2 linked regions of the Notamacropus eugenii genome follow. The protein of the gene in region 1 interacts with the protein of each later gene in a biochemical or structural test. Links are inferred from orthologs where the notes say so. Each region holds a gene or a part of one and is shown in the gene's direction. Other genes may lie near its edges.

The links. The genes of interacting proteins can lie anywhere in the genome.
Region 2: the proteins of UBE3A (region 1) and beta-actin-like protein 2 form a complex in vitro, tested with the Homo sapiens proteins (2 studies listed by BioGRID). The link is inferred for Notamacropus eugenii from reciprocal best matches to the Homo sapiens genes UBE3A and ACTBL2.

What each region holds. Positions count from the first base shown.
Region 1 is NC_092876.1:404,781,672-404,792,502, forward strand, and holds the start of UBE3A (ubiquitin-protein ligase E3A), read left to right. Parts: upstream 1-6,356; 5' UTR 6,357-6,458; intron 6,459-10,460; exon of another isoform or gene 10,461-10,479; intron 10,480-10,831. UniProt on the Homo sapiens protein: E3 ubiquitin-protein ligase which accepts ubiquitin from an E2 ubiquitin-conjugating enzyme in the form of a thioester and transfers it to its substrates.
Region 2 is NC_092875.1:404,644,495-404,654,598, forward strand, and holds beta-actin-like protein 2, read left to right. Parts: upstream 1-6,377; coding exon 6,378-7,508; downstream 7,509-10,104. UniProt on the Homo sapiens protein: Actins are highly conserved proteins that are involved in various types of cell motility and are ubiquitously expressed in all eukaryotic cells.

The sequences.
Region 1 (10,831 bases):
TGTGATATGTGATTTTTATAGAATACTATTTTGCTATAAGTAATGATGAAGGGAATAGTTTCAGAAAATCCTGGGAAAACTTATATGAATTGATGCAAAGTGAAATGAGCAGAAACAGAAGAACATTGTACACAATAATAGCAATATTGTAATGATGATAAACTGTTAAACACAACTCTTGTGACATAATGATCCATGACAATTCCAAAAACCTTGTGATGAGAATACTGTCCATTTCCAAAGAGAGAGAGCTGATAACTCTCACTATACACTGAAACACATTTTTCACTTTATTTTTCTTCACCCTTTAATAATATTTAATTTTTTCCAATTACATGTAAAGATAGTTTTCAACATTTACTTTTATGAGATTTTGAGTTCCAAATTGTTTTCTCCCTCTCCCCCTCCCCAAGATGGCAAGTAATCTGATATAAAGTATACATGTACAATCTTATTAAGCATATTTCCACATTAGTCATGTTGTGAGAAAAAAAGAATCTGAACAAAAGAGAAAGAAAACAACAAAAAAAGAGAAAATCGTATGCTTCAGTCTGCATTCAGGTTCCATAGCTCTTTCTCTGGATGTGGATAGTGTTTTCCGTCATGAGTCTTTTGGAATTGTATTGCTGAGAAGAGCTAAGTCTATCAAAGTTGATCATTGTACAACGTTGCTGTTACTGTGTACAATGTTCTCTTGGTTCTGCTTACTTCACTCAGCGTCCATTCATGTAAGTCTGTCCAGGTTTTTCTGAAATCAGTTTGTTCTACATTTCTTATAACATAGTAATAGTCCATTACATTCATATACCACATCTTGTTCAGTCATTCTCCAGCTGATGGGTATCCCCTCAATTTCCAATTCTTTACTACCACAAAAAGAGCTGCTGTAAATATTTTTGTACATGTGGGTCCCCTTCCATATTTTATGGTCTCTTTGGGATACAGACTTAGGGGTGGTATTGCCAGATCAAAGGGTAAGCACAGTTCTATAGCTCTTTGGGCATTCACTTTATTTTTCTTGCTTTTTTTGCACCATCACTAATATGAAAAATATTTTGTATGACTTCATATGTGTAATGGGGATCATGTTTCTTGCCTTCTCTATGGGTGAGGGAGGGGTTGAGGGAAAGAATTTGAAGTAAAAATAAATATTTCAAATGAAATAAAGGCGTGCCACAGGACTTGAGAGAAAAGGATATTGAGAGCATTTTACAAGATACTATTGAGACTTTGGGATATGAGGTATTCACCAAGTGATATGAGGAAAGTGATCAAAACAGTCTTTTGAGTAAGTTACCTGAGGCTATGGACTCTTCTAAAATCCCTGGTAGCATAAGAGTTTCAGAAAGAACTTAGAGACTGATTACCAGGCTTTTCCCAGAAGATGACAGGATACTGAATGGGGTTAAGACTGTTAATCAATGAAGTATCTAGAGACATATTATTGGAACTAAACTTAAGTTGAAAGCTATCTGAAAAGTAGAAGCAGCTACAGATGCCAATAAGTGTCCATGCTCCACAATGCACAGAGTTGTACCACAGGGCAATCTTAGGAGTAGATATTGCCTTTTCTCAGGAAAAGGAACCATTTCTGAGTGACAAACTAGACTGAAGCAGTATAGCACTGGCAGGTTTATGAAGTGGAAAAAAAGAGGGTAATTGCTACTTAGGTTTTGGAATTGTAGAGGGTCTAAAGACTTCACAACATGAACTCACATTGCAAAGATGCGTGTGGAAACTAGAAAAGTAATGTAATAGTGATGACACCACAAGAAGCATATGTTGAGCCATTCAGTGAAAAGGAGAAAGAACCTTTAAGTTTGTAATTTGGGTGAAAAGTCAACCACAAAGAGAAATAAAAAAGTGTAATTAGACTATGGGCAAATGTCCAGGGTATTGTTTACTCCAAAGAGCTGAAGTGAAAGCAGTCAAAATGTGATCAGTTGCCAGACATAGTAAACCAATTTACAAATCATTTCCAAACTGCAGTGAATAATCTAACTTGGAAAAAACTCAGCTCCTCAGCATCTTCCTATGTGTGGACCCTAGAAACAGGGCAAGAAACCATCTCTAATCACCTAGACTCAAGGGTAAGTACTTACAGAAAACCTGCTGAGAAAAAGAATTGTAGACAGTGCTGTTACACTAGGAGAAAGCCAGGTGTGCAGGGACCTGAAGTCACAACTACCTAATGGAAAGACACCACCAACAGAGACCAAATGGAGGGGCAGAACTACATTCTGCTTAAATAATAACTAAGATGGATATAGGGGTTACGTGCAAACCTAATAGAAGAAAGCAGAGTTCATGTGTGAGAAGCTGAATTACTGAGAATATCAAGACATGGAGATGAAGCCAGCAATGGACACCAAGTTTGAACTCAACTCTAGTTACATATTGATTCCTTGACCTGGATTTATTGGAACCTGCTATAACTGCCCTGCCCCTGAAGTGACAGTAAAGACCGTAAATTTCCTGTATTGGACAGTGGATCTCAGGTGACTATTATGTACCAAGATTTCTAAGAGAGAAAAACTAAGTGAGAAAAACTTCTTTGCAGCCTTTGAAAGGATTAGGACTCTATGGAGTAAGTAACAAAGACTATTGATACTAAGGCTACATTAGAAGGAGACTAAAATTTGCTAAAGAAGTTATTGGTTTGACAGGAAGTAAATACTTTGGCTTTGGTATATCCACATCTAAGCATGTCCCTGTTATGTCAGTCTAGATTTGAACAAACTCCAACTTATTCAAGATCCTAGCAATATATATGTAGCAACAGCCATTCCAGCATAAGGCCAGTAGTCAAATGACCTGTCTGGTTCAGACCAAAATCAGTCATGCCCAATAGCCAAGCAATTTCCTGGTCCAACTCAGAAGCAGCCAGTCCTAGTGAGGAGGTAGTACAACACCTAAATGATCTGCTTTGACAGCCTAGCAAGTGAGGAGTTGGCATTGTAGAAGTTATCCATCACCAGCTCCACATCCCACAGAGAACTCCATGAGATAACTTCCCTCTGAAGAAAGAACATTGAGACCTTGCATTTCCAGAGTTGTGAGTTGTCTGGACACGTGATCCCTGCACATTATGGCTCACTGTAATTATACTTTAGGTTCATGCCCATGTATTCTGTACATTTTTGTTGTAAAGTGTGACTGGTTTGCAGGAATTTGCTTTTTAACCACTATTCTTGCTATACCATTTGAGTAAATATTAGAAAGTCAGAATCAGAGCCAGAAAGTCTATTGGTAGATTGTTAAAAGCACACCAGTAGAAGCTCATGTTAAGGAGATAAATTCTCCTAGTATACCAAAGGTAGTAGCAGTCTCCTTTCTGGGATGCAATGTGCCAGTGCCTGGGATGCTTAAGGGAGTGAGTTCAGATTGGACTGCTATAGCAGCTATAGCTGGAGCTTTAAGTGGTATGCATGCCTGGAAAAGGAGGCTTTCTAGCCAGACATAGATAAGGACATATGTTAAGGAAAAAAGGTGAGTTTAAAAAGAGTGTATCTGGAAGGATGAAGGACAGAGAATCTATCACAGAAAAAAAGAAATAAGAACAGGATTGAAGGCTTAGTTGAAATTAGGTAACATTAATTTAGACCCAGTTGGCACACAGGTGAGTTGCCCCAGCAGCATTCAGAAGCCTGGGAACCCAAGTGGAGAAGGCAGATTGGCAGTGGGGCAGCAGGGAGTGAGCAGTCCAGGGTTAAGGCCTGGCAAGACTTACATGGCAGTGGAACAAGAGAGCAAGTGAGTTCTGTGTGGAGGACAGTGTAGAGCTAACCTGTCCACTATAAGGTCTAAACCAGGGGTGGGGAACCAGGTGTGACCTTCAGGCCACATGAGGCCTCCAGGTCCTCAAGTGCAGCCCTTTGACTGAATCCAGACTTCACAGAACAAATTCCCTTAATAAAAGGATTTGTTCCGTAAAACTTGGACTCAGTCAAAAGGCCTTAGCCAAGGCCATAGAAGGACACATATGGCCTTAAGGTCCCAAGTTCCCCACCCCCTGGTCTAAACTGTGAAGGGAGAAAAGATTTAAAGGATGACCAACCCTATGGGCAGCTAAAGAGAATGAAGCTGCAGGTTATGAGAACTGAGGAAGCTGCTCAACTGGGATACTAGATGCTTAAAGTGAAATTAATGTTTATATATTTTAGTTCCTAAGAATGAGCGGTGAATAATAACCTCCTTGTGGGTATAATCCTGGTAGCATTATCTGTAGGTCAAAGAGCATGAATAATTTTAACATATATATATATTTTTTAATTTCATCAAATACTTCCCAATTACATGTAAAAACGTTTTTAATATTCATCTAAAAAAATTTTGAGTTCCAAATTCTCTCCCTTCCTTCCCTCTCTCTCCCCTTCGAAAGGGATTATACATGTGGAATCATGCAAAAAATATTCACATGGCATGAGAAATTTATTAACTTTTATGCATTTTAAATTATTTTCCACAATAGTTTAACCAATTCACAGCTTCACAAAGAATTAGCATGTCTTTCTCCCCACTGCCCTTCAATGAATTTTCTTCTCTTTGCTAATTTGATAGGTGTCAAAGAATACATCAGATTTATTTTAATCTGCATTTCTCTATTAGTACTTTTGAACAATTTTTCAGATGGTAGCTTGTATTTAATACTCTTTTGAAAACTATATCCTTGGACCACCTGTCCATTGGGAAATGGTTTTTATGATTGAGACATGGGGATGACCTTGAATTTCCTGAGACTGTCAGCAGAGCATAATCTCTGGCAGAATCTACCACTTTAGAAAGACTTAATATGGTCCTGGTGACAGATTGTATCTAATGTTTGAGGTTCAGCTTAACTGAGTTCAGAGGCCATCACCACTCATAAAAAAAGAGAAAAATATGAAATGCCTTCTTTAAAGCCTTTGAGGTCAACTTCTGCAGTGACAGTGTTGGAATGGCTAAGAATCATCGTTTTTGAACTTTTTTCAAACGTTGCTCAGTGTCTGCCAGGGTTTCAAGTGGTCCTTCTAGGGCTAAAATTTTTATCTTCAGACTTCTAATAGTGTTTTCTCTGCCACACCTTGAAACTCTGCATGATAAAACATGTTAGAGAAAAAAATAGTAAATTCCACCTCCCAGCACTGTTCCCTCAATCAGCGTGACAAGCAAAATGAACATTATTTCATTATTTTTTCATCTTGTTAGACATTTATTTAATTTGTCAAAGTTATAAAAATATTCTATCTTCCTTCTTTGGTAAGGGATGAACATACTATGATTTTAGCTGTACTTCATTCTTTAAAATGCCTATAAGAACACCTTAAAGAAGTAAAAGTGAACAAGCTAAAGAAAAAACAACAACTTGTAAATCTCCCAAGTAATAGGTTGACCAGAAGACAGCTTAAGATCAGGCATGGTTAAATTTCTTCAAACTTTTTTCACATAAACTCCAAGTAGAAAGGGATTTGAGAGGGGATATAATAGAACAGGTTTTATGTGGTAGAACCTGTTACTGAGCAAGAATTCCTGCTACAATACACCCAACAACTGGTCATCTAACTTGTTCTTTAAGACCTCCAATGAGGGCCAACTATCTCATTTACAGATGGCCTCCAAATTCTTAATAAAGTAGTAGACAAGGACCTTAAGAGAGAAAACAGTGGGTTTAAGAAGAGAATATCTGGAATAGCCATTAAGAGATGAGGACAAAGAATCAATCGTAGAAGAATAGAAAGTTAGACAATAATAAATAAAACAAAAAGATAACACCATTCCACTTTGGAATGGCACAAATTGTTAGGAAGTTTTTTCTTATGTCTAAATTTGTCCTGAATTTGCTTGGTCTATTTCATTCTCCAAATGGCAAAGTATGAAGTGTTCTGGTATAATAGAAACAGTGGAAAAAATTCCTAACAATTAGAGCTCAAAGCTTTTGGAAGTGGTAGGTTCCTAATCAATGCAGGTTTTAAAGTTTTTTGTCCTTAGTTTTTGAAGGGGACCAATGATAAGAGGGAGAGGTTGACTTGCCTAGTGAACTGGATTTAAGTGAGGCAGAGTTGCACAATGTCATCAGCCTCACTCTTCCAGAGTCATCAAGATTCAGTGACAAGACAAAAATCAATTGCCCAGGATACAATGGATGATCTTGGTGTCTTTGATGTCTGATCAAGCTAAAAGCACCCCACCGCTATCTCTGCAGTTATTGGAACAAATTGTTCTCATCTGCCCATTCTGACAGAAGTCTTCTCATGCTTGGGGTAGACATTCCAGTAATTCACTGACGTATTAGAGCCCTGCAGGTTATCCTCAAACTGGTTTAGCCCATCTGCTGAGATGGTTTTTAAGTAGAAGCTGCATGACCACTTATCAGGTATATTATAATAACAGCAGTAAGCATCAGAAGGCTTACATCCTAGCAAGGAGAGAAGGACAAAGGGAAGATGTGGCTCTAGCTTTTATCAGCTGTGTGACTTTGGGTAAGTCAGTTATCATCTCTTAGCCTTTTCCACTGTGCTTTGCTACCTTCTACACAAATACATATAATTTGGCATGCTAACTCTATATTCTACATAAGATCATTTTTTAGAGAGGCAGCATTATGTTAGAAGGGAGAAGGCTGGCCTTGAGGACCCAGAGACCTCTGTTCAAGTCATAGGATCATAGATTTAGGTTTCCAACACATACTCTGTGACCGAGTACAAATCCCTTAATTATTCAACTCTCTGTAACTGTCAAGTTACAGACAAGTTGCTGATCTCCGGTGATGAAAAGGGTTTCCACATTGGGAGTTCCTTAGGCAGAAGGAACCATAGTTTCTAGAGCAATAACAGATATAATAATATTAATATAAATTTTAAATTTTGGACAAATTGGCCTACTTGCTGTTTCTCATACACAGGATTCTATTGTCCATCTCTGAGACTTTGCCCAGGCTGTGCCCCATGCCTGAAATGCCCAGTTTCTTATTGAGCTTGCTGTGTGACCATGGGTAGGTCATAGGCAGGTCAATTCTTCCTGTAAGGTCTATTCCCTTCCTTACCTGTAAAATAAAAGGGTTGTATCAAACAGCCTCTGAGTTCACTTCTGAATCTATGATCCAGTGAACCTTATCTCTTGGAATCTCTGGTTCCTTTCAAGGCTCAACTCAGTTGCTCCCTCCCTGCCACGCTGCTTAGCTGTTAGTGTTCTCTCCCACATGCAACATGACTTCCTATTTATCAGTGAATACACTGTGTGCTGTTTATTTGTTTTGTCTTTGCATTCTGAGCACCTAAGTCAATGTCTTGAATATCGTGTAATATTTTATGAATATAATTGTTCTAAAGCTTTGCCATGGGATGGAATTAACTCTGGGTAACTAAAGGTTTAAAAAGTAGCTGTGGAGGCTCCATGGCTAGAGTGCTGGGTCTCAAGTCAGGGAGGTCTGAGTTCAGATGTGACCCTGGGAAAGTCGCTTAACCTCTGTTGACCTTAACCCACTAGAGAAGGTAATAACAAACTACTCCACTATCTCTGTCGAGAAAATCCTACGGCATATTATGGCCCATGGGGTCATGAACAGTTGGACACAACTCAACTGACCAAAAACAAGTGAAGACTATGCTGGTAGAATGCATGCTCAGTCAAGCCCTATCAAACTATAAAGGTTGCGACCCAGCAAAATTTTCTTGTCAGGAAGCTGCTGAGGTAAGTAGGTACTGAAAAGAGGCAGCTCAGTGGATACAGCATTGAGGCTGGAGTCAGGAAGACCTGAGTTCAGATGCTGCCTCAGACACAGCTAGTGACCCTGGGCAAGTCCTTTAACCTCTGTTTGCCTTAATCCATTGGAAAAGGAATGGCAAACCACTCCAGTATCTCTGCCAAGAAAACCCCAAGGATAGTGCTGGTGTGATATGGTTCATGGGGTCGTAAAAGGGCTAGATAAGGCTGAATGACTGAACAGTACTGCAAAGCTTATAATCGGAAAGCCGATCACCAGGATACCTGTCTATATGCATACATCATAACAACCAACATATATTTGTGTGCATATATATATATATATATAATATGCACATGCATTATAATTACACACGTGTACATATATGTACATATAAATATCTAACACAGTAACTCAAGAAAAGGGTATCTGATTTCTTTCTGTTGGTAGTACTTACATATACATTATTTGTGAATTGAGAATCTTTTAAGTATGAAATAATGTACAAAGTAGTACACATAGGCTCATAGATTCAGAGCTAAAAGGAACCTTACATGTTACCAAATACAACCCCCTTATTTTATAGATGAGGAAACTGAGACCCAGAAAGGTGAAGAGATCTGCCCAGTCACACAGCTATTAAGTATCTGAGCTTGGATTTTAAACTGGGCTTTCCTGACTCCAGCTCCAACATTCTATGCACTATGGAGGCTCAGAATGCTTTGTGACTAAAACGTAGAATTAGAAATTATTTAGCTATTCACTGTAGACTAAAAATGAAAATACCCCTTGACCTAGTTCAGATAGATCAAAGAAGTAATTATTAAGTGTCTGCTACATTCCAGGAACTGTGCTGAGTTGGAGATTAAAAAAAAAAGTAACCCTTACACACAAAAAGATGAAATTCTAAGTCAGTAGATAACAGGCACATATAGAAATATATACAGAATATATACAAACTGGACACAGGGTAGTTTGAGGAGAGAAGGCATTAGCAGTTGGAGGAAGGCTTCATGTAAAAGATGGTTGAGTAGAATATAAAAGAAAAACCAGAGATTCTAAGTTGCAGAGGCAGAGAGGGCACATTCCAGGAAGAGTGTAAAAGCATGGAGCCAGAAGAAAAAATAGGTAAGTATGGCTGGATAGCAGAATATGGGACAGAATAAGGTCCAAGACTCTAAGGATAAGAAGGTTGTGAAAATCCAGGTAAAGGAGTTCAGAGTCATTGAGGCTTATTGAGTTCTTGAGGGTGGCATGGTCAGACCCATAGCAAAATGGCTTTATTGGCTGCATGGAGACTTGAATCAGGGAGACCAACTAGGAAGCTATTGCAATAGTCCAGGTGAAGATTGCTTGAGTTAGGGTGGTGACAGTAAGTGTGGAGAGAATAGTAAATACAACAAAGTTGTTGTAGAACCAGAAATGGAAAGATTTGACAACTGACTGGATTGGTGAGAGTGAGGAATCTAGGATGACAAAGGAGTTGTGGATCTGCGTGAGGGTTTAGTTCTTCCTGCCTTGAAGCCCAATGCTCTGCCCCACTCAGCTGCCTCCAGAGGGTTGGGTTTTAGGGAAAAGATACTGGAGCTTATGTTCACTGAGTAAGGAAGGTCTTGGCCAGACTTCCAGTAGCGTTCTGATCAAGATCTCTTTTAAACCACTACTTGGGTCACCTTGGGCAAAATCAGTTCCTCATCTTTAGAAGGGGATTAAACTCTGTAGCCTCCAAGGCTTCCAGTTGTCATTCTATGTTCCTAGTTCCTTAACTTGGAGGTTCACTTACTTCGGTACTCCATGGGGTTACGTAGAGTCAGATGCAACTGACCAAGAAATGTGCTACCTGCTGGAGATAAAAAGAAAGGCAAAAGACAAAGACCTCACAACCTAATGGTGGGAGACCCTCTGCAAACAACTGTGTACAAACAAGATACATACAGAGGAAATTGGAAGTTATCTCAGGGGAAAGGTATTAGCTTTAAAGGGAACTAGGAAAGGTTTTATGCAGAAGACAGGATTATAAGTGAGACTTCAGGATTTGTGTATGTCAGAAGGCATGGAAAGAGGGCAAACTAGGAACTAGGAAAGAGGACAGACCTATCCTAGACTCACTTTGGAGCTTGGAAGAAAAGACTTAAGAACCTTGATGGCAGAGGCTGTTAGCCATTTCTGTGGGTCGCCTATGGACCCCTTCCCGGAACCAACGTTGTGCCTGCTATCACTCTCTCTCTATATACGTATATATATGTATGTATGTATGTATGTATGTATGTATGTATGTATGTGTGTGTGTGTGCGTATATATATATATACGCACACACACTCGTATGTATATGAATAGGCAGGCATACAAGTAGACATATAGATACATTGTATACACGTATCTGTATACACACACATTTAAACATCCGCACCTATGTACGTGTGCACTCTCCTGTATGCATCTTACTGGCACCCTGCTGTTTGCAGACTGGGAGACCCCTGAGGGCCGGCGCTGGGCTGAAAACCGGGGAAAACCCGTCTACACCGGGAGACCCCAGGCAAACCGCGGTGTATGAACCAGCTCGCTGCGTGCGTCCTTGGTTTTCGAAGACCTGGCACGACGTCGGAGAAACGAACTAGCTGTTCGAGGCTACAGGGGGCATTAAGGGGAAGGCTTCCAGCGGAAGGGGGGGTTGTGGCTGGGCTAGGAATGCGCCGCCCGTATTCCTAATGCCAACTTTCAGTTAGAGGTCGCCGAAAATCAGGATGCCATTTCTTTCCCCCATTCAAGTTCAAGGACCCCCTGGAATCTATTCCAGGTTAGTGATCCCTGCGTGAGGGGGAGGAGGGGATCGACTCCCTCCCGGTTCTAGGAGGGCCTCCCAGCGCGAACAGAGCCCGGGGCTGCCCAGGCCCCACGGCGCCGGCCTGGGGCTCTCGTTTCACCGGGGCCCCGTCTCTGCCCGACTCCAAGATGGCCGCGGGGCGCGGAGGGGCGCCGGGCGGCCTGAAGTGGGCCCCCTTTCCCAGCCGCCTCTGCAGCCGGCGGTGACGACGGCAAGCCAAAGGGCAACGGGCCGTGCGAGGGAGAGAAAAGGGGAGGAACCCGGAGACTCTATGGTCCGTCCCCGCCCCCCGCCCCCGGTCCCTGGCTGCCGCCGCTGCCCCGCC
Region 2 (10,104 bases), on another chromosome or scaffold:
TGGATCTCTACCTGAGAAGCTCCCATCCCATTACCATCCACCTCTCAGCATAATAGTCAAACCCTTATGGAAGTGTAGGCATCACCTCCTTTGGTATGATAACTGATATTTTATTGACTCTATAGTAAACATGCCAGCCAACCAAAGAATATGCATGACTTCTTGGTACAATTTTCATTTCTTTATCAATCACTATATAACACACTCTTCCCCACTAAAGCATTTTTAACAGAGTCATTTCATTTTAGATGATAGAGGAGACATTTCATTACTGAAAATGCCTTCTCAGTCCAATCATTTTCTCATTTTTTTTTTTGGTTTGTTCTGAAATTTAACTGGCCCTAAGAAATTAATAACTTGTTTTCACATTGGAAGAATATTTGTGGTTTTCCAGATTTCCTTTCAATTTCTTCTGTGCAAAATATAACTTATTTATCCCTTCCCAATATAAAGGACTTGGTTTTTATAAGGCTATCTTGAGAAATATTTCCCAATTCGTTTATGTCAGGACCATAAGACCTTATGAAATGAGTTATGCAAGTCCTCTCTCTCTCTCTGCTACTCTTGCAGCAAGACTAATAGCCCTCCTTGTGGTCTGACAGCCACCTATATTCTCCTTTTGGCTTATGGGATCAGAATTCAACTTCAACCTTGCACACTGTCATGGTTGTAAGGTGGGGTTTGTCCTCTAGTTGCCAAAATGACTCCATCATGGCTGGGAAATCCATGCGTATACCCATCATATTTCTCTCATTCTTTTCACCCTTTATCATTATAATCAGGAAACTTCTTTCAAATCCTCTCCCCCAAAATCCACCCCTAGTCTCTCTGCTACCACAGAAATACCCATCATACCACAGCAACTTTCAATAGTGGATAAGCTTACTCCTTTCCATGTGCCATTGGATACTATTACTACCAGTACTACTAATTATCGTCATCATAATAATAGCATTTATATAATGCTTCAAGGTTTTCAAAGTACTTTATAGATATCTCATTTGATGATTATGTATTTAGATATTTAAAGATGAAAACGCTCGCGCTCGCTCTGTCTCTCTCTCTCTCAAAAGCACGAAGGAAGAAGAATGTATCTCTTCTCCAAAGTTCTTGGGTCAATAGCTCCCCTCATACAGGCACAGAGCATCCAGTCATTTTTCTTTCCACTGATGAATAGAGTCTTTACAAATGTTCCAGACTTGAGATTTAGTTTATATAAGTACACACATCTACAAATTATGTACATAATTATTCTGTTAATGTATGTACATATGAGCAAAATAAAATGTAAAATATCAAAATTTTAAAAGATAAAGAAGGCAATAAACATTTCAATTATTTTATTAAGGGCACAAAAAATGTTGTTATTGGGTGTAATATGACTGAATAAGTATCACTATTTTTGAAATAGTTCATGTTCTAGGAGACAGTCTATTTGTAAAGAATATTTTAATAATTACTAATTCAGTTGATTCACTTCTGTAGCAAGCAGGTGAATTTATTTCAGATACCTTTTATTGAAAAATGCCTGATAAAACAATCAAATAATAAGTAAGAATAGTTAGTGAACATAAAAGCTTTTCATCAAGGACCATATTTCTCTATATTTATACATTCACAGTACACATTGCAAAAGTGATGACAAAAAAGCAAATCGGCTTTGATCTCAACTCATCACAGAGTTTTTGATATAAATTCATCATTTTTTCTTTATATAGTTTTGCTTAAAGGAGGGTATCGTAGTTTAATTTCCTGTTCATGTTTGAGTATTTTAGACATATTTCTATGTGAATGTGAGAAATTACCCAAGGGTCAGTATGTCTGGACCCTTGAATGAAAGAAGGAGAATGATATATTAAAAAGGTGGAAAGGCAGGTGGGGATAAGTTGGAAGAAGGGCTTTGAATGCCAAACAGAGAGTGGTTTTTATTTGCTAGAGGTAATTAGGGTCCATTGAAGTTTATTGAATAAGGAAGCAGGAAAATCTCTTCAGTAGGTGAGGAGAGGAAGATAGTGGAGAGAACTGGAACAGAGACCAGCTGGGAAATCAGGTTGGTGGAATAAAGGGAGACAGTTTAGCTCAGCTGTAACGCACCATTAAATAACTCAATTACTTAAAAATTCACTGTCAAGACAAGGGAAAGGGGGGGAAAGTATTTATTAAGTGGCTATTATTATGTGCCAGGCACTGGGTTAAGCACTTTACAAATATTATCACATTTGATCTTCACAGTAATCTTGCAAGTTAGGTACTATAATCCCTGTTTTACAGCTGAGGAAACTGAGGCAGACAGGGATTAAGTGATTTGCCCAGATTCACGTAGTTAATAAGTATCAGAGGCAGGATTTGAACTCAAGACGTCCTGACTGAGCCCAGCACTTTATTCACTGTACCACCAGCTAGGTGGAGTCATGAAGACTTAAGTTAAAATCCTTCTTCAGACACTTACTAGCTATGTGAACCTGAGCAAGTCACTTAGCCTCTGTCTGCTTCAGTTTTCTCAACTGTAAAATGCGGATAATAACACTACCTACCTTGCAGCATTATTGAGAAGATGAAATGTTATATTAACTGTAAAAGTGCTTGGCACAGTTCCCAGCACATAGTAGGCCCTATATAAATGCTTATTCCCTAGTCCCTCTTTCTTTCCCCTATACCTAGAGGTGAAGTAAATACTATCCAGACCCCCTTATGCAAAATATGAGAAGGGTTTGGACTAGGATGGTAGTTATATGAGTGGAAAAGTGGGGACAGTAGCAAGAGATGCAGTAAGAGGTCCAGCTTGGGTCTTTGGTTGTCATGCAAGTTAAAGCTTCCTTACTATGGTGATCCTCTACCTCAATACCATGTTTCAACCAAAGATTTACACTGCTTCCTATTCCCCAGATGCACAATCCAGGAATCCTATCTTGGATGCCCCTTCTAGGCCCTCCCCCAATCTAGCCTCCATCCCCTTTTGCCCTTTAGTTTTCCTGCTCCATAGGTTTCCAAGAACATAATCGGGGTTCTCTGTCATCTCAAGGCTGGCAACACCATTTAATTGTTGCCCATAGCTCCCACCCTAAGGACCCCCAAGTACTGACTCTTTGTACATTAGAGATGGCTGAATGAAGCTGAAGAAAGCTTCCAAGGGGCCAACTACAGTCACAAAGAACATTCTATTTTCCCTTTCTTGATCTGAATTACTCCTTTTTAGAATGTGTCCACATTAGTTTAAATGGGCAGTTACATCTAACCCATATGCAATTCTTTTACTGATTTGGATTCTAAATTGTAAATAGCAAGGTAGATTTTTTTCCTGCTACAAAGATCAAAATGAAGAACAAAATATGAATTCCACCATCATGCAGTCAGCTAAAGAGGGGTCTCTTCCATTCTGAGGCTTTTTCAGTGACTGGCTTAAAATATTGATTCATAAAATGCAACATAACCATGAAGGATGTAATTGTGTTTGGGAACATCTTCCAAGAGTGCTGCAGTTGAAAAGCTAGCTTCCTCTCCTTTTTGTTCCCTTTTTATGGTATCACTTCCATAGCTTCAGTTCCTTTTGCATTTAACCAGCTTGGGGGGGATCAGGTTTTTAAATGGCAGTTTAATTAACATCCCCCCCAAATTGCAGGAGCTAATTAAAAACACTTTCTATAATAACCAATAGACAAGACCCTCCTTGAGGAAACCAAATGCACAACAGAGGGTTAAATGACTGAGCAAAGTGACAAATCAGCCTCACTCTGAGTGTGTGGCATTCATGGCTTCTATTTGAGATGGCATTTTTTTCATGGAACACTCCCAAGACAGGGCTCCATCAATCCAGCATCTGGCATAGTTATGCTTCATGCTGTGCTGGGCTCAGTCTCTTGTTTTCATTGATATGGCTTTGATTCACCAAGAGATTTTGCAAACAAAGTTTTGTGCTACATGCCATTTGATTTTTTTTGCAGCATAAGCATATGATAAATATTAAAGTGGGGAGGTGAGCAAAGAAATATTGCAGTGGTATCATTTTTAACCACAAAATGTTATTTTATCTCAAAGATCTATTGCATTGTTTAATAAGGAAGCTAAAAAAAACCCAGAGCCAGTCAGCTTTGGTGGGAAGAGAAATTGTTTAGTATTGTTTGTTCCAAGATGGACAGGTTTGGCAGTTACAGAAAAAGATTAAGGGAAAAGTAATTTCTGGTAGAAAGCAAGAAAAGTGTCTCTGGGAGAAGCACAAATTCTAGCCAAATGTAGACCTCCAGGGATAGAGGGAGAGGTTTTAAGGGTTCATTAAGGAAAAGAACAGACAACATGCAGAGGAGGATAATTCTGTATTCAGCTTGAAAAGGAAGCCATGGTCTGGATGATCACAGTCTGGTGTTGCAACCCAGTATAAGGAGGCCCCTGGGCAAAGTGCCAGGACCAGCTCTGCAAATTCAGAGCTGGAAGAGGCAATTCTGGGCACAGAATAGATTGGATACAACTCTAATGAAACTGGAGAGTCATGCATGAGAAATATGGGTACCGATAATCATTTTGTTTTATAGAAGCACTGATGGGAGAGATTACTTCCTGTTTTGACAGTCGGTGAGGGGAAAATAGTAATGAACTTCCTAATTCATTGTTATTGTCCTACTAAATGTATCATGTGTTAAAAACTGTCCTAGTCTTCATATAATACAAATAAAATGGAAATTAATGCTTGAAGCTAGCCCAGGATAAAAAGTCCAGAAATGAGAGGCAGAAGGAGCACCAAGGCTAGTACTTTTATTTGTATTCTAATGAGTACAAAACCATTTAGTTTTATTTTCTTAATCTAAAATGTAAGAATTCTTTAAGGACCAAGGTTTTTTTTTTCTTTACATCTGCAGGTTTTCAAATTACTGTATCTAATATTATTTATTTTAATAAAACAGCCATGTCGTCTTAGATGCCAATGAATGGGTGCTATTTTAACTTCTAATTAGTACCAGGTACCCACAAGCATCTAGCAGAGGTTCAGCAAATCTGCAGACTCCTGGGGGAAAGGGTCTAACCTTGAATATAGAAGATTTTAGTGAATGTTTGTTGCTTTAGAATGTAAATCCAGAAGGAGGGATCTGAGTCACTTCCTTGCTCTCAAGTCTTCTCATCCATCATCTTTTTCTGATTGATTTGTCTAAGGATAGATGATCTTTGTACATGCTGTCTTCCCCAACTAAAGGGTAATTCTTTGAGCACAAACTGTTTCTGTATTTCTTTTTGCTTGTTTTTATATTCCCATCATTTAGTATGATTCCTGAAACATAGTAGGGATTAATTTATATATAATTATAATATATATAATTATGTATTATATATAATATAATATATTAACATTAATAAATGTTGTTGACTAGTTTTTTAATAATCCTCTCTAACTTCATCTTTAATGGTTTCAAAATTTTGTTTCTACTAGTTAGTCATTTCAATCATGTCTGACTCTTTGTGACCCCATTTGGGGCTTTCTTTCTTGGCAAAGATACTGGAGTGGTTTGCCATTTCCTACTCCAACTCATTTTACAGATGAAGAAACTGAGGCATACAGGGCTAAGTGACTTGCTCAGCATCATGCAACTCATAAGTACCTGGGGCCAGATTTGAACTCAGGAAGATGAGTCTTCTTGACTCCAGGCCCAGCACTCTGTACGCTATGGTGCCACCTCTTCTGTTTTTATTAAATATCTCTAAACTGCACAAGGTGCAAATGGGATTCTGATTGAAGTAGTCAGTATTCCCTCAGCTATGAAATTATTTTATCCTTTACATTAACCCTCCTCACAGAGCTATCCACCATGGCTAAGAGCTATAAGTATTGAGAGCTATCATTATACATGTCATATGCAGACCAATGCAAGTATGTAAATATCAATATTACACACCATCAGAAGTTCTATCTCACATGAAGAATTCCTTCCCCAAGGGCAAACGAGAGAATAGAGTTGATCTTCTTGTAGCCTTTCATCCTAGCCTTTCATCTTTTAATATTCGATATTGCATCACCATGTTTATCCAGGGTCACTACCATAGCAGCCGGACATCCTTCTGTGGGTTTTCTAATTACAGTCACTGGTGGATTTGGTAGCTAATTTTCCTCTTTATGATAGAAGGTCTACAAAATCATTATTAACACCTAGAAGGAGATCCTAACTGGGAGCACTAGGAGGGTTGGGGGTGTGATGTAATGAGACAAGGCATGGGTGGAGTCAGTGTGCTTCTTTTAAAGCCTCTTGTCACAACTAAGTGTTTTTCTCCTGTACTACTTCTAGAGAGGTTACAGCTAATTTGACCCTCTTTTCTACTCCCGTATGCTGATTGGCACCAGTATATCTTCTGCATTTGAACTCAAACCTCACCTTCTGCAAGATCCAGCCAGCACCATGACTGATGAAGATCTGTCTGCCCTGGTAATAGATAATGGGTCGGGGATGTGCAAGGCAGGTTTTGGTGGTGATGATGCCCCACGGGCTGTGTTCCCATCTATTGTTGGACGACCTAAACACCAGGGTGTCATGGTAGGGATGGGCCAGAAGGACAGCTATGTTGGAGATGAGGCCCAGAGCAAGAGAGGCGTTCTCACTCTGAAGTATCCCATTGAGCATGGGGTGGTCACCAACTGGGATGACATGGAGAAGATCTGGCATCATACTTTCTATAATGAGCTGCGTGTGGCCCCTGACGAGCACCCCATCCTACTCACTGAGGCACCCCTCAATCCCAAGATCAACCGGGAGAAAATGACTCAGATCATGTTTGAGGCCTTCAACACACCCGCCATGTATGTGGCTATCCAGGCTGTGCTGTCCCTCTATGCTTCTGGACGGACAACGGGCATTGTCATGGACTCTGGAGATGGAGTCACTCACACTGTGCCCATTTATGAAGGGTATGCCCTGCCCCATGCCATCTTACGCCTGGATTTAGCAGGTCGGGAACTGACCAACTATCTCATGAAGATTCTCACTGAGCGTGGCTACAACTTCACCACTACAGCAGAGCGGGAAATAGTGCGTGATGTCAAGGAGAAATTGTGCTATGTAGCCTTGGATTTTGAGCAAGAGATGATCAGTGCTTCCACATCATCCTCCCTGGAACGGAGCTATGAACTCCCTGATGGGCAGGTAATCACCATTGGGAATGAACGGTTCCGGTGCCCTGAAGCCATTTTCCAGCCATCTTTTCTAGGCATTGAGTCCAGTGGGATCCATGAAACAACTTTCAATTCCATCATGAAATGTGATGTGGACATCCGCAAGGACCTCTATGCCAACACTGTGCTCTCTGGGGGCAGCACTATGTACCCTGGCATTGCCGATCGGATGCAGAAGGAAATCTTGGCCCTGGCACCTAGCACCATGAAAATCAAAGTCATTGCTCCTCCGGAGCGTAAGTACTCAGTCTGGATTGGTGGTTCCATTCTGGCCAGCCTATCTACCTTCCAACAGATGTGGATCAGCAAACAGGAATATGATGAGTCTGGTCCATCTATTGTCCACAGAAAATGCTTCTGAATAAGCTTATGGTTACTGGGCAGTGCTCCTTGTTTTCCTAACCCTCAGTGGGCTTAGAACTACCCCTTTTTGACATTGCTGAGGGTTGGGGAAAAGGAAGGAAAGCGACCACCATGGTGCTGATCATGCCCCACCTTTAATTCTTGATTTGAGGTAATTTATCCACTCTTCTAAAAATCCCAGCTTCTAATTCATGTCTTGTTCCTTGCTTTTTTGGGAAGGGGTGAGCAAATCCATAATTGACAGTGGCTATGCTATGGTGGGCATTGCAATACTGGCAGAGAGATTGGTGATGGAGCCTTCGAAAGAAGGCTCCTGATTATGAATTGAATTTCCTCCAATTGACCAGGGAAGAATCTTAACTACTGAACCAAACTTTCAGGGTGTCAGAAATTTAAACCTGTATGAAAAAAAATGAGTGCCTGGAGTCTAAATAACTCAAGAAATTAAAATCATTAAAATAATAAAATGTCATCTCCGTGGTTAGGACTGAACTGGAAGACGTGAAAACTCGTTCTTACTTTTTGTTTTCTTTTAAATATAAAACTATGGCCACCCATCTAACCTTTAGAACAATGTGCTTCCATAGACAAGGAAGGTTATATTGACCTCGTGCTTCCATGTTTCCAATCTTTGAATGAAGATATAAAGTCGAATTGGCTAAGAACAATTTTATATCAATACTGAGGAAATAAAACATTATATTGTACTATGTAGTGATTTATTTCGGCAGTCTACATTGCTAGTGTCTTTTTTTTTTTTTCTTAACTTCACCAGATTTCCCATTTTTATAGATTTGGAAGAGAACCAAAAGGTCCTCTGATCCAGAGGTTGACAAATTACGACTTGAGAGCCAACTCCATTCTGCAACTGGTTTTCGTAAGACTTGAGAGCTAAAAAATGATTTTGCATTTTTAATTTAAGTATTTCAATATTTAGCTACAAAGTATTTCTTTTGAAATAAAGTATTTAAAAACTAAATAAAATATTTAAAAACCATTCTTAGTTCATCAGCCATACAAAAACAAACTTCAGTTCCCATAGACTTCTGATCTAATCCAACCTCCTCATTTTATAAATGAGGAAACTAAGGTCCAGAGAGGTTAAATAATGTCCCCAAGGTCACAAAAGTAATAGTTATCTGAGATAGGATTCAAACCCTGGTCCTCTGATTCCAGAACTAATGCTTTTTCCACTATTTAATTATATTGTTTCAAGAGTTCTTTACATAAATGGCTCCCCTTAAAACAAGAAAAAGTGGGTGTAGATGCCTCTTTAGAGGGTCATAAACTGTGCTAGTTCTTTAGCATTTTAAAAAACCCTAAAAAGAATTTTCCTTCTCCAAGGAAGTGACAGCCATCTACAGAGAATGATTATAGGCATTTATTTAACTAGGGCTAGGACTGACCCTCACTTGAAAATCAGCTAATTTTTCATCTCTATATCATCTTTTTACAGGACATTTCCTCTTACATGGGTGTTTCAAGTGTTTACTTTGGGGATTTTATTATCTCATGGCTTGCTTACATATTAAGAAAATTGTAAAAAAAAAAATGTATGTTATCTAGTTAACTCTAGGATTCATAAGATTTAAAGCAGGAAAGGATGCAAGATCCTAATTTCATTAGCTTGAGAACTGGATTGAAATTTAGATATCATGTATACAAACTTCCTCTTTTAAATATAAGGGGATTTGGGCCCAGAAAAGTAAAGAAAGTCCAAACTCTCACAGGGAACAAGTAACAGAGCCAGGATTCACACTTTGTTCTCCTGACTAAAAACATTTAGTACTCTTTCTACTGCACCAAACTGCACCCAACCCTTGGACAGCATCTAGTCCCACTCCCTCATTTTATAGGTGAGGAGACCGAAACACAAAAAATGATTAAAATGGCCTAAGATCACATAGGCAATAACTAATCAAGCCAGGATTCAAACCAAGATCTTTTGTCTAAAGACTCAGGAATTTTTTTTTATTCCATAACACACTGGCAGATGTATTTAGTATTTTGAAGGGCCATTTTTATATCATGTTCTATAATGAAATTCATCTGTCATGTGAGGATTTTAATGAAGGAGAATATAGGTAGATGTCAATTGTTCAGTCAACAGGCATTTATTGAGTATTATTATGTGTCAGGCATTGTGTTAAATGCTAAGGATACAAACAAAGGCAAAAAATATGGTCTCTATCCTCAAGAGGTCACATTCTAATGGGGCAGTCAATGGCCAGTCAATAAATTAACATTTCTTAAGTACTTACCTGTGCCATGCACTGTGCTAAGTTGTGGGCATGCAAAAAGAGACAAAAGAAAGTCTCTGCCCTCAAGAAGCTCATAATTTAATAGTGGAGACAACAAGTAAAAATATACAAACAAGCAAGCTATATACAGGACAGGGCAGCTAAGTGGTGCTACAGTGGATGGAGTGCCAGGCCTGGCTTTGGGAAGACTCATCTTGCTGAATTCAAATCAAACCTCAAACACTTACTGCTTGGGTGACCTTGGGCAAGTCATTTAATGCTGTTTGTCTCTGTTTTCTCATCTGTAAAATGATCTGTAGAAGGAAGTGGCAAGCCATTCCAGTATCTTTACCG